3 linked regions of the Canis lupus familiaris genome follow. The main gene of each other region encodes a partner of the protein of the gene in region 2 in a complex. Links are inferred from orthologs where the notes say so. Each region holds a gene or a part of one and is shown on either strand. Other genes may lie near its edges.

Evidence for each region.
Region 1: the proteins of TLN1 (region 2) and PIP5K1C are in contact, whole or in part, in a crystal structure (PDB 1Y19), measured with the Mus musculus proteins. The link is inferred for Canis lupus familiaris from reciprocal best matches to the Homo sapiens genes TLN1 and PIP5K1C. Residues at the interface, in NP_035732.2 of Mus musculus: Pro209, Val210, Gln211, Leu212, Leu214; in NP_032870.2 of Mus musculus: Pro646, Leu647, His648, Tyr649, Ser650, Ala651.
Region 3: the proteins of TLN1 (region 2) and APBB1IP are in contact, whole or in part, in a crystal structure (PDB 4W8P), measured with the Mus musculus proteins. The link is inferred for Canis lupus familiaris from reciprocal best matches to the Homo sapiens genes TLN1 and APBB1IP. Residues at the interface, in NP_035732.2 of Mus musculus: Leu1492, Ala1495, Thr1496, Val1498, Ala1499, Thr1502, Ser1503, Cys1506, Asn1507, Arg1510, Val1526, Ala1529, Lys1530, Ala1533, Asn1534, Thr1536, Ala1537, Val1540, Ile1543, Lys1544, Asp1547; in NP_062329.2 of Mus musculus: Asn5, Ile8, Asp9, Met11, Phe12, Thr14, Leu15, Glu18, Met19, Leu21, Leu22, Ser25.

What each region holds. Positions count from the first base shown.
Region 1 is NC_049241.1:56,191,322-56,194,939, reverse strand, and holds part of PIP5K1C (phosphatidylinositol 4-phosphate 5-kinase type-1 gamma), read right to left. Parts: intron 2,691-3,618; coding exon 2,570-2,690; intron 1,783-2,569; coding exon of another isoform or gene 1,759-1,782; exon of another isoform or gene 1,364-1,758; intron 1,325-1,363; coding exon 1,247-1,324; intron 1-1,246. UniProt on the Homo sapiens protein: Catalyzes the phosphorylation of phosphatidylinositol 4-phosphate (PtdIns(4)P/PI4P) to form phosphatidylinositol 4,5-bisphosphate (PtdIns(4,5)P2/PIP2), a lipid second messenger that regulates several cellular processes such as signal transduction, vesicle trafficking, actin cytoskeleton dynamics, cell adhesion, and cell motility.
Region 2 is NC_049232.1:52,548,850-52,552,467, forward strand, and holds part of TLN1 (talin-1), read right to left. Parts: intron 3,423-3,618; exon of another isoform or gene 3,278-3,422; intron 1,877-3,277; exon of another isoform or gene 212-1,876; 5' UTR 179-211; coding exon 49-178; exon of another isoform or gene 1-48. UniProt on the Homo sapiens protein: High molecular weight cytoskeletal protein concentrated at regions of cell-matrix and cell-cell contacts. Involved in connections of major cytoskeletal structures to the plasma membrane.
Region 3 is NC_049223.1:5,059,213-5,063,527, forward strand, and holds the start of APBB1IP (amyloid beta A4 precursor protein-binding family B member 1-interacting protein), read right to left. Parts: upstream 2,897-4,315; 5' UTR 2,686-2,896; intron 2,335-2,685; exon of another isoform or gene 2,279-2,334; intron 1-2,278. UniProt on the Homo sapiens protein: Appears to function in the signal transduction from Ras activation to actin cytoskeletal remodeling. Suppresses insulin-induced promoter activities through AP1 and SRE. Mediates Rap1-induced adhesion.

The sequences.
Region 1 (3,618 bases), on a different chromosome or scaffold from region 2:
CTGCCCCTCTAGGACAAGAATGTGGGACAAAAGAATCTCCATCTGAACTCTGCAAAGAGCTGGCCTCAGGGGAAGGAGGGATCGCGGGCAGCAGGATCCAGAACTCTGCGATGACCCCACTGAAGTGGGGCCAAGGACACATCCTCCCCAGGCCCTAGGGTCTGTGCCCACTCACCTAGCCCTCACACTTGCTTCCGTTGTGCCCTCTATGGAGGCCCCCTCCTCTTCCCGCCTCCCCACATCCTGAGTGTTTTCTGGTCCGGGTCAACCCCTCTCCAGGCAGCCTCTGCAAATCACTTCCCCAGGGGGCCTCAGGGCCTGCTGTGTATCCCCAGCTCTTGGATCATCTTCGGGGTGTGGAATCCCTGTCTCAGCAGGACACAGCATGGCAGGAAGGTCTGGGGAAGTGGTTTCCACTTCTTGGGTTTGCTTGGCAGTGCTGGACACCCACTGACGCTCAGAGGCATTTAGGGTAGGGGATGGGAGCCTCTGAGGGGCCTCATCTTGAGAACAGAAATTCCTACTTCAAGTATTCAACTTGTTTTGCCTGCTTGAGTGCTGTGTGGCTCTGGGCAGGTTCCTAGGCCTCTCTGCGTCCCTCATTTATTGCTCATGACGAAAGTAACAGGTCCTGATAATACCATGGCTACACGATACCCACAGTGTCCCAAGCACAATAGGTGTCTACTAGACACAGGGGCTGCTTGGGAATTTGGACCCAGATTTTACCTGAACTGTGCCCTTTTGTGGGCTTCCTGGGGAGCTGAGCCCGTGGTTTCTCCACTATCAAGTAGGTATGGAGATACCACCTCCTCTCTCCTGCAGCGAAAAGCTTGGCTTTGAAGTCCCTTTGCTGACCCACATGACCACCTGCTTCTGCAGGGCAGATGCCCCTTGGGGGGCCACTGGCAGCCAGGTCTGAATATTAGACAAGAGTCTACCGACTTGTCCCTGACTTAGCAGGCTGGGGAGGGGGCAAAGACAGCCAGGGGCTGGGGTCAGATGCAGACCCCATCGCTACAGACAAGTCCCCTTAGCCCTGGCTGTGTGCCTACCGGCCTAGCAATGCCCACCTCAGAGGGACCTAGGTGACATCACTGGGGACACATGACCAGCTTCAGTCGTGGTGATTATTTCCCCAAGTCCCTTCGCAGAGGACGAGGGACAGCCAGGACTTGTGGCTCCCTGCTGCCCAGGGTGGTGGGACAGGGGCTGGGCTCCCTGGAGGCCTGCTGTGGTCACTTACAGTCCCTGAGGAGCTCAGCGTCACGGCCCGCAGTCGGCGATGCCGGGGAGAGTAAATCCAGTACCTCCCATCGGTGAACTGGGCGGGCCGGGTGGGCGGGGGAAGAAGCAAACAGAGGACAGGATGAGGCAACAGGAATCCAGGGGACGGTTAGGTGGGGAGGGTGCTGGGCAGGGGCAGGTAAGCCGATAGCCAAGCAGGAGGTGAGTTTCAGGGTGGCAGGGGTCCCACAGCAGCCCGATACCTTCTCTGCTGCCCACAGGGCCTGGCCGCCCACTTGGGTGTCAGGACCCAGACACACATACAGGACATGGCCCCCTGGGGCCACCTCACACACCGGTCCACAGGATGGGACACAAACCAAGCCCCCAGGGATGGGGATATGACGGCGGGTGTGTGGACGCATAGACAGTGCACCTGTTCCTTCTCCAGGCCCGACGGAGGCCCCAAGACAGAGCAAGGTGGTGTTAGCTACACAGCAGCAGCAGCAGCAGCAGCAGTAGGCCCCCAGCTCACTGGCCAACAAGATCGAAGGTCTGGGAGGAGGAGAGGCAGTCCCCTTCATTGCATAAGGCCTTCTGACCTGACCCCTCAGTAGGGCTGCCTGAGGAAGGCAGCCCCAGGACCCACTGGGGCAGGGGGGGTGTCATTGGACTGGATTTTGCAGGCTACCTGGCTGCCCAGCACCCACCTCACCCAAGCTCCTGGCCCAGCTGTTTGCCTGTGGGAGATGCAGCGGGGGGAGGCGACCCCCTGCTCTGGAAGAGAGGTCCCAGGTCCCTGGGGGAGGGCCGCTTCTTGCTCCCACAGACCCCGCCCCATCCAGGAGCAGCCATGAGTCCTCAGCCAGTGAGGTTGGCAGCGTGAAGCACACCTACCCCTTGCCACAATTCCCTTGCATCCTTGAGAACAAAACCCGCCTAGCTGTACCCACCACCCAGCAGGAGAAGATCCACATGGTTTGCAGCCCTCAGAGGCTGGCCCGGTGGGGCACACAGCTTGAGGACTCCAGATGTTTCCTAGGGAGATGCGGTGGCATGGCTAGGGCCTTGCCTGGCGGTGGTCACGAGGCCTGGGGAGGAGGGACAGGGCTGTTTCCTGGTCTTGGAGTAGCCTGGCCTGGATGGCGAAGGCAATGTGCTCCCATGCCATGTGAGCATGTGATGTGAACGTGTGTGAGGGCACACTGGGCGTGCAAGAGTGTATGCATGTGACTGCTGACCAGTCAGTGCACTGTGTCCACGTGGGTGTTCTGTGAGTGTGACTGCAGGAGTGTATGCCTGGTCAGGGGTCTGGTGACGGAAGGAGTTGCAGGGGACTTACAAAGTAGATGTCTGTGGCGGGTGCATCCTCCTCATCCGAGGCCTGGCTGGCGGGCTCCGAGGCCTGGCTGGTGGTTTCTGCTTCGGCAGCCGCACAGGCATGAGCTGGAGAAGCCTCCACCCTGGGGACACGAGGACAGGGGAGTCCTGAGGCGGGGCTCCGGACAGCACCCACACCAGCCCCAGCCTGCACCTGCCTCTTCCCCTCTCATCAGGAGGTCATCATGGGGACAAAAGACTCAGGAAGCCAAATAACTGCCCCCCCACCCCCTGCCTCCAAACACCTCTGTGGAGAGGTGGGGAGGATGTGCCCACCAACAGGTGAGCCTCTACTGACCTCTGCTCAAGCACACACGGGTGGGCAGGTCCTGGCCTCACCACTCACCCCTGGCGACCCTGAAGGTCCTTTCCCAACCCTAAGCCTCAAGTAGCCCCACCTGTAAAGGAGGGACACCTAGCACCCATCCCACATTGAGGTCAGAACCCCTTCGTAATCTTTACTGAGCATTTGCGATCTTGGAAGAGCCAGGTATCCTGAGTTATGGAAACAGGCTCCAGATGGGAGGCGAGGCGACTCCTAGGTCTCACCTGGTGGCCAGGTGATTGGGGGCACAAGTTCATCTCATGAGCAAAATGCACAGCTCTGAGATGGGAGGGGCACCTATAACCACGGGGAGCTGGCTCTCCAGCCACGTGGGATGGTAGGCTGTTTTGGGGGCAAAGACAGAAAGATGTGTCACACGGCAGGAATTCAGTTAATGGGAAAAAGTGGCTGGTGGCAGAAACCGCTGTGTGTGCACGCGGGCGTCTGTCTGCGTGTCTGCAAAGTAATTCTTGATGGCAACGCGCAGGCGGGGAGTGTGTGTGAACGCTAAGAAAGGGGTCTTGGAAAGAAGAGAAATTTTAGAAGCAGGGAAAGAGAAATCAACAATGGAAGCAAGAAGAATTTGATAACAAAGCAAACACAGAACCAAACAGACCAAACCAAACAAGGACATAGGCAACTAGATGCCTCGATCAATACACGGGACACAGAACGTTCCTTCCCTC
Region 2 (3,618 bases):
GGGAACAAGGGACTTTCCCCCACCTGCCACCGGGGTACTCAGACTTACGAGGGCCAGCCAGGGCCTCTGGGATGCGCTCACGAATGATGCGACAGGCATCATACACCATGGTGGATGGCTCAAACTGCATGGTCTTCACCACATTCCCAATGCTGATCTTCAGCGAAAGTGCAACCATGGTGGCAGCTTCTCTTCTCCAGCCTGGCTATACCTGGCCCGTGGGGTCAGGGCATTAAAACATATCCTCAGTAGAGGAGAGGAGGTCCCCAAGATGGAGCCCCAGGGAGAGGTGTTTTTGAGAGGGACTTACCAGAGCAAATAGTAACGTAGTTGTTTTATTTCAGAATTTTAAAGAGTGAAAGATTATGTACACCTAAAGAACCAATCCTAACCACCTAAGATATGTGAAGGAGTCTGGTCTGCAATGCAGTGTTCCCTGAGGACACCATTTTGTCCCTACCACTAGAATGTGTGCCTCCCTTCTTTCTGCCAAGTGTCTCTCTCTCTCTTGCTCCTTACCCTGCTCCTTTTCTAGCCCTGTCTCAGCCTTGTTTTTATTTTTTCTTGGTTCAGTCTTTTTCTCTTTTTGTCTCTAACTAGGTCTTGCTTTTTCCTGTCTGGGATTTTCAGAGCTCTGCCCTGACTCATCATGTGACCTTCCCTCTGACAGCTTTAGCCTCCTTCTCTGCAAAATGAAGACGTTATATTAGGTAATTCCCAAGAGATCCTGAAGCCTGCAAACGAAGCCTGCAAACACCGACTCTAGCTAGCCTAGCAGGGAGACCAAACAGCCTACTCTCACCCCCTGCTTTCCTCTAACTAGAGAGGGAAGGGCTTTCCCAAGGAGCCTGGCCCCATATTTGGCTTCCCTGGCAGTCAAGCTAGAATGATGATTCTCTAATCCAGAGGGATCTCAGCTCTTCAGTTTTGCAGAATGGATATCAGAGACCATGGTGGGGTAGGTGGGGGAGTTTCAAGGCAGGTCAGATGAAGAGCCCAGTCCCTCTAACTTGGTCCTTGCTCCAAGTCACCAAGCGAATACCCAGCCTGCCCTCACAACAACTCCTCACAAGTTCTCCCATCTTCAGTAAGTCCTTCTCAAGTCCGTCCCGCTGTCTCACTTGCTGGTGTTTTCAGTGCAGCTCAAGATACCCACCACACCCTGACTTCCCTGTCCCTCCTTGGCACCACCTCTCAGTAGGCTGGAGGCGCCCTTCCTGGCAGGTGGCAGATGGCACCCAGGGCATGAGAGGACAAGTCTGCCTGGCAGCTGATGATGTGACCCAGTTTGGTACAGAGATTGGTTCCTTTCAACTAAGAGAATGAACAAACCTGGGCCACCCACCCCCTCCCAGTAGGCTGCCAGCCCCAAGGGGGGAACGCAGGACCAGGGGTAGGCTGGAACAGGTGGGGGTGCTGGGGTACAGGGGCTGGCTGAGAGCCAGGGAAGTTGGGAAGGGATAGGTTTTTGGAGGGTGAAGAGGTTAGGAAGGGTGAGGTGGAGGAGACTGAAAATCCAGAGACAGGAGGCGGGCCTGTGTGGGAGAGGTACGGGTCAGGGATGCGCTAGACCGCTTCTGACCTTAGAAACAGTCCAGAGTCTCCCAAGAAACCATGGCTCACTCTCTTATTTCCAAACAAATGAGGACTCTTCCAGTCTCCCCAGCTCTCTGCCCACCTCCCCATTTCTCGGTCACCTCTCCCAGTAGCTTGACAGACCTGGCTGTGAGGCTGCTGGAGGGCTGGAAGGTCAGCGAAGTGGAGGAGTCAGAGATGTTGAGGGCAGCACTGAAAGGATCCTCCACTCTAAGCTGAAAGCCTCCCCCATTTCCTCCGGACATATGGACACCCCCTTCTTCAAGCACGGAAACCTCTGGTGAGACCCCGATAAGAGAGATGAGTCATGCCTACCCTCCCAGGCTGGTTCTGAGTGGATACCCACAGAGTGACAAGATGGTGAGGGAGGAAAGGGAATGGAGAAGTTAACTGAGGGTGATGAGGGCAAAGAACGAGGCCCTTGGAAGTTTGGGGAGAAGCTATCCAGTTCCTGCTCTGGCCTGAAAACTTTGCTCCCTTTTCTATCACGTTTTATGAAACAGCAACAGTGTCCCCCCCCCCCCCACCATATCCCCCTCCCAGGGAACTCCTCCTCCCTCAAGACATTCCTGAGATGCATTCCAGAGGAGTTGGGCAATTGGGGGTGGGGTGGGGGTGGAGGACAAGAGGTCAAATCCCAGCAAGGAATGGAATGTAAGTATTGGGGGTAAAGAATTTGGGGTACATGGAGAATAGAGTCAGAGCAGAGCCCCACAAAGGGAGCTGCAGAAAGACAGGGAGCTATGGAAAGGGACAAGGGAGAGAGAAAGCTGAAGACAAAGTCAGAATGTATGAGGGTTGGGGGAGTAACACTCAGTCTGTTACCAAATTTGGCCTCTGAGTCGGCAACCACGGGGAGGAGGGGTGGGGGGGGTTGTGGGTGAGAATGACATATCCGGCCTTGGGCTGCTGGAGGCTCATTTAAGGCTGGACTGGGCAGCTGAAGGGCTGGACTTGATCTCTCTCAACACAGCCCCTCACCACCTACACCGATCTATGCATATTCATTTTCCCCATCTGCACCCTGGTTTATGCACAGAGCTCTTTCCCACAAAGCTACTTAAACTGTCTCTACATATACATTATCTCAAACATGCAGTCCCTATACAGACCCCATCACAACCACATTATCTTCCTGTAAAGACCCCATCCCACGCACACAGCTTCCCCACAAACACACACACTTCTATTGGTAAGAGAGCAACTTGCCCCAACATCTCTCTTCCCTTTACATAGACATTCTCCCTCCATTTACCCAACAGGCATTTCTGAGGGTCTGTTGTGAAAAAAGCCCTGAGCCAAACTCCCAGTGACTGGGAAGCAAGAAGAGCAAGCCCTAGCCTTCGCTTTCGTTGGGGGTGGGGGTGGGGTGGGGTGAGGGGGTGTTTCCCAGTTAGTTGAGTGGATAAGCTAAATACAGAATTTTAACACAGGGCAGGATGTGGTAAGAGTCAAGAGGCGCGTGTTCAGGGGAGAGATCCCTTTAGGTTAGGGAAGAGGTACCAAAAAAATGTCTGTGAAAAGTGTCATTTGAAGTTAGGGCTTAAAATAAAGATAATAAAAAAAAAATCATAAGGAACTAGCTTTAATTGATGATTATGTCAATTTCTTTGTATACGTCATTTCATTTAAACTTTACAACAACCTGGCAAGATAAGTATGATTATTTCCATTTTTACAGATTAAGAAACTGAGGTGCAAAGATGTTAAATACTCATTCAAGGATCTTCTCCAAAGTCATACAGCTAATAAGTTGTGAAGCCAGGATTGGAACCCATGTCTCTCTGATTCCAAAGCCCAAGTTGTCTCCACTATCCCAGTAGGAGGTGAGTCAGGGGTAGCATTCCAGGCAGAGAGAAGAGCATAAGCAAAGGTGGAGGAGCAGGAAATCATGGAGGAGCATTGGGGGAAGTGAGTAGGCAGGCTGGTTGAAGCGCATGGTACCTGCAAGGGAGCAGTGATGGCGAAGTCAGGGTTAGGGTGGAAAGGCAGGGGAGGAGTAGAGAGGAAGGAGTATTTTAC
Region 3 (4,315 bases), on a different chromosome or scaffold from region 2:
AATTTATAATGAATTACTTAAATTTATAATAATTGCTTAAACTTTAAGCTACTTGTCACATAGAATGACAGAACTGACATAAAACTTAGACATATTGAGACACCTGGGTGGCTCAGTGGTTGAGTGTCTCCCTTCAGCTCAGGTCATGATCCTGGGGTCCTGGGATGGACTCCCACATGGGGCTCCCTTCAGAGAGCCTGCTTCTCCCTCTGCCTATGTCTCTGCCTCTCTCTGTGTGTCTCTCATAAATAAATAAATAAAATCTTTAAAAGATATATAGACATATTTACATACTAAAAGTATGTTAATAAGAATTGCTCTATTTTGAGGTGAGAATTACTAAGATCATTCTATGGCCTATAAAATAAACTCATGAGGTCTTTAAAATGGAAAATATTTTGGTGTGGCAAGCTATGATATGCCAACTTAATTTATTATAAGATCTGTGGACTCACTACAAGGTTTTGGATATAAAAATAATTAAAACAAGATTTTAATTAAAAGTAAATAAAAATAATGCTTTTGAAAGTAGTATGGCTTATGGCTGCCTTGGTGGCTCAGTCAGCTAAGCGTCTGCCTTTGGCTCAGGTCCTGATCCCAGGGTTCTGGGATCAAGCCCCATGTCAGGCTCCCTGCTCGGCAGGGAATGTGCTTCTCCCTCTCCTCCCTGCTCCTGCTCTCTCTCACTATTTCTGTCTCTCTCTCTCAAGAAAAAAAAAAAAAAAAGAAAAGAAAAGAAAAAGAAAAAGAAAAGAAAGTAGTATGGTTTAAAGAAATTCAGAGCGGCATATCAAGCATAGACATTTATGGCAATAAATTTTATAAGTGATTCATTTTAATAATAAGATGAAAATATCTAGAACTTTTTTACTATAAGTTAATAAACATTAAAAAATTAGGTATTTGGTATTCATTCCTAGGATATAAAAATATAAAAAATTAATGGACACTGTATAGCCTAATGAGTATCATGTTTAAGATTTAAAGTAACTAAATCATAATATAATCCATATTATAAAGATATATTTCTTGAGAGATAATAATTGAAGAATTTTGAAATCTAATGTTGATCTGCCCAAGCCTGGGCACAACAATGCCCCACCTCAGTTTTTCAACAGATCCAAATACCAAGAAAAAACACAAATATTAGTATCACTGTGAAAATTATTAAGTACTAATAACCCAAAGATGACATTATATTTCTTAGACCTTTCACAACATACTGAACAGACAGGAAATACTACCCGGAAGAGGTTATGGAAGGTTTCTTAGCACATTTTCTGTGAATTTTGTCAGCTAGTCTTAACTATAAGACTATTTCAGTGAGGCCAGAGGGAAAATTGTCAGTGGTGGTTTATTCCAAGGGACAAAAGCTCTCTTTTCTGAAATTTCTGTTCAGAGGCCGAGAATTTAGAATGCCTCTAGGAAACCACACCTTTAGCGTTCCACAAGGGTATGTACAAGAAATACCTTCCCAGAAGAAAAATAAGAGGTGCAGGGGGTCAAGGGTTCAGGGCGACTCCTGGATATCAGGACATCCTAGTTAGTTTCTTTCGTGCTACAAAATGGCACTCTGGCCATTCGCTCCAAGCCAAATTATGAGACTAACTCCTGGTGTCCAAATCGTTCCTCTATCTTATTTTTTTTAAAGGTTCATTCATTCATTCATTCATTCATTCATTCAAGACACAGAGAGAGAGGCAGACACAGGCAGAGGGAGAAGCAGGCTCCCTGCAGGGAGCCCGATGCGGGACTCGATGCCAGGACCCCGGGATCACCACCTGAGCCAAAGGCAGACAGACGCTCAACCACTGAGCCACCCAGGCGTCGTCCCCCTCTATCTTATTTTAAAACGAAAAGGAGTATCACTAGTAAAGACTTTTTTTTTTTTTTTTTTTAAGAAAAAGAAGATACGGTTGTCCAAAAGTTTTAAACTCAGGAAACACCCTAAGATACGTCAGACTGCGATCGTCAATCTCAAATTCTCACACGACCGGCCCTGGATGTACGGTGCCCTAGAGCGCCCCCCGGAATTCCTCCGGAGGGGTCAGTCGGGGCTCCTGGGCCGCCAGACAGGCGAGGGTTCGGCCACTTCTCCATCCACCTCCGAAGCAGCTTTGGGCGCAGCGGGGATCCCGGGGCCGCGCGTCCCCCCGAGGGCCGGGCCGGGCGGGGCGCGCGAGTCCTCCGGGCCACGGCCGGGAGCTGGGTCGGACCCGGGGTCAGACGCAGACCCGCGGGAGACACCGGCCCTCGGGGCCCCCGCCGGGCCGCTTACCTTGACGGCTCCCGGGGCCTCGGCTGGGGCGGGCGCGGGCGCGGCGCGGCGCGGCAGCCGCGGGGCAGGCGAAGCGCACACTGGGCGGCGCCCGGCTCAGGTCGGCGGCGCTGGAGGAAGTGGTGTCGGCCCTGCCCTCCCCGCGCAGCGCGCCGCCGTGTGGCGCCCCCGCGGGGGGACGTGTGGAGGAGGGCTCCTGCGCCTCGGGGGCTGCTGCTTTCCCAGCTCCCGGCTCCGAGCCGCATGTCCCCCGGCCCTCCCCCTCCTCGCCACGCCCTTGAAGGAGGGGGGGGGGGAAAGTTCTTGGTTTTCTAAGTTCTGGGAGAAGCTGGGCCTTCCCGTCTGACCCCTCCCCTCCGCGCGCCCCCTTCTCTCCGAGCGTTCGTTCCCTCGCTCAGCGATCCTGCCTCGTCACTCGGTCCACCCGTGGCTGAGGGATGTGGGGCCACACGACGGCTCCGCAGAAGCCCGACACCCTGAGCGCTGTTGCAACGGTCGGCCTAAGTGTTTGCTTCAAGCCCTTCCGCGCTTCCTCTTTCGGGAGGGTTGAGCAAAGCCGGATCTCCGCGGCGCGCAGCCCACCCTTGGGGGCCTCGGCGCCCGCGTGCCGAGCGCGGACCTCGCCCCGCGCGTGCGCGCAGCTGCCTGGCTCGCCACGCCGCGGGGATGCGCTCCGGCCGGGTGACGCGGCGCGGCTGTCCGAGGTCAGCGATCGGGTGGGTGGGGAAGGGCGCGCTCGGTCCGGGCCATTTCTCAACTGTCGGATTGGCCAACCCCCCTGAAGCTTAACGACACTGAGTTGGCCGGCGAGGCCGTGAAGAAACAGGCACTCGCTGGCGCACACCGCTGCCCGTGGAAACCCAAAAATCCGGTGATCCCCGCGGAGGCGAACTCAGCAATAGCTATTAAACTCACATATGCAGTTATCCTTTGATCCAGAAATCCCACTTCTCAGAATGTATTAGGGTGATAGGAGTGGTGACACGGAGTTTTGCATATATACCCACGCCCATTCTCGGCCGCATGATTTGTAATAGCACAGCACTGACTGGAAGTAACCGGAGGCTGCTCAGAGGGAGGGGGGCCTCCTGAGAGAATGAGGGGAGATCTGAAAATATAGAAGTTAAAAGCACGATTTGTAAATGTGGTTGAATCCAGCTCCTCTTCCCCTATACATACAGCTGTGTCTTTTAGGGCTTATGTGTGGGGAAGGGGGTGGAGAAGACAAAGACATATGCGAGGCACAAAGTAGGTAAATTAAGATAGTTCAATCATTTAATGAAAAAAAAAATTTAAGTATTTTATTTATTCGTGAGAGACAGAGAAAGAGAGAGAGAGAGAGAGGCAGAGACATAGGCAGAGGAAGAAGCATGCTCCCGGTAGGGAGCCCCGTGGGGGACTCGTCGTCCAGGATCATGGCCTGGTCCCAAGGCAGACACTCAACTGCTTAGCCACCCAGGCATCCCTTAACGAAAAACTATTAAACACCTACTCATCTAGGGACAATGGAAATAGTTATGGAGAAAACAATTCCCTGCTCTCCTGGATAGTACTTTCTAGTTGGGAGACAGCAAATTAATATATTTTTTAAAGATTTAATTTATTTATTCATGATAGACACACACAGAGAGAGGCAGAGACATAGGCAGAGGGAGAAGCAGGCTCTGTGCAAGAAGCCCAATGTGGGAATTGATCCTGTAACTTGGGGATCATGCCCTGAGCCAAAGGCAGATGCTCAACCACTGAGCCACCCATGTGTCTCTGCAAATTAATATTTAACTCATGAGTGACATAAGTATTTTGGAGGGAATTAAAAGGTGGGAGTGATGGTAGTGGGGATGGAGCTGTTGTTATTAATTAGGATCATCAAGGAAGATCTTTCTGATATGTGTCACTTGAGCCAGACCTAAATGACTTGAGAAATTAATTAATGTGGATTTTTGAGTGCGAATGTTCAAGGGCTCTGGGTTAAGAGGGTACTTGGGATGCTGGGAGAACAGCAAAGTAGCTAATACAGCTAGAGGAGAACGAGGGGAC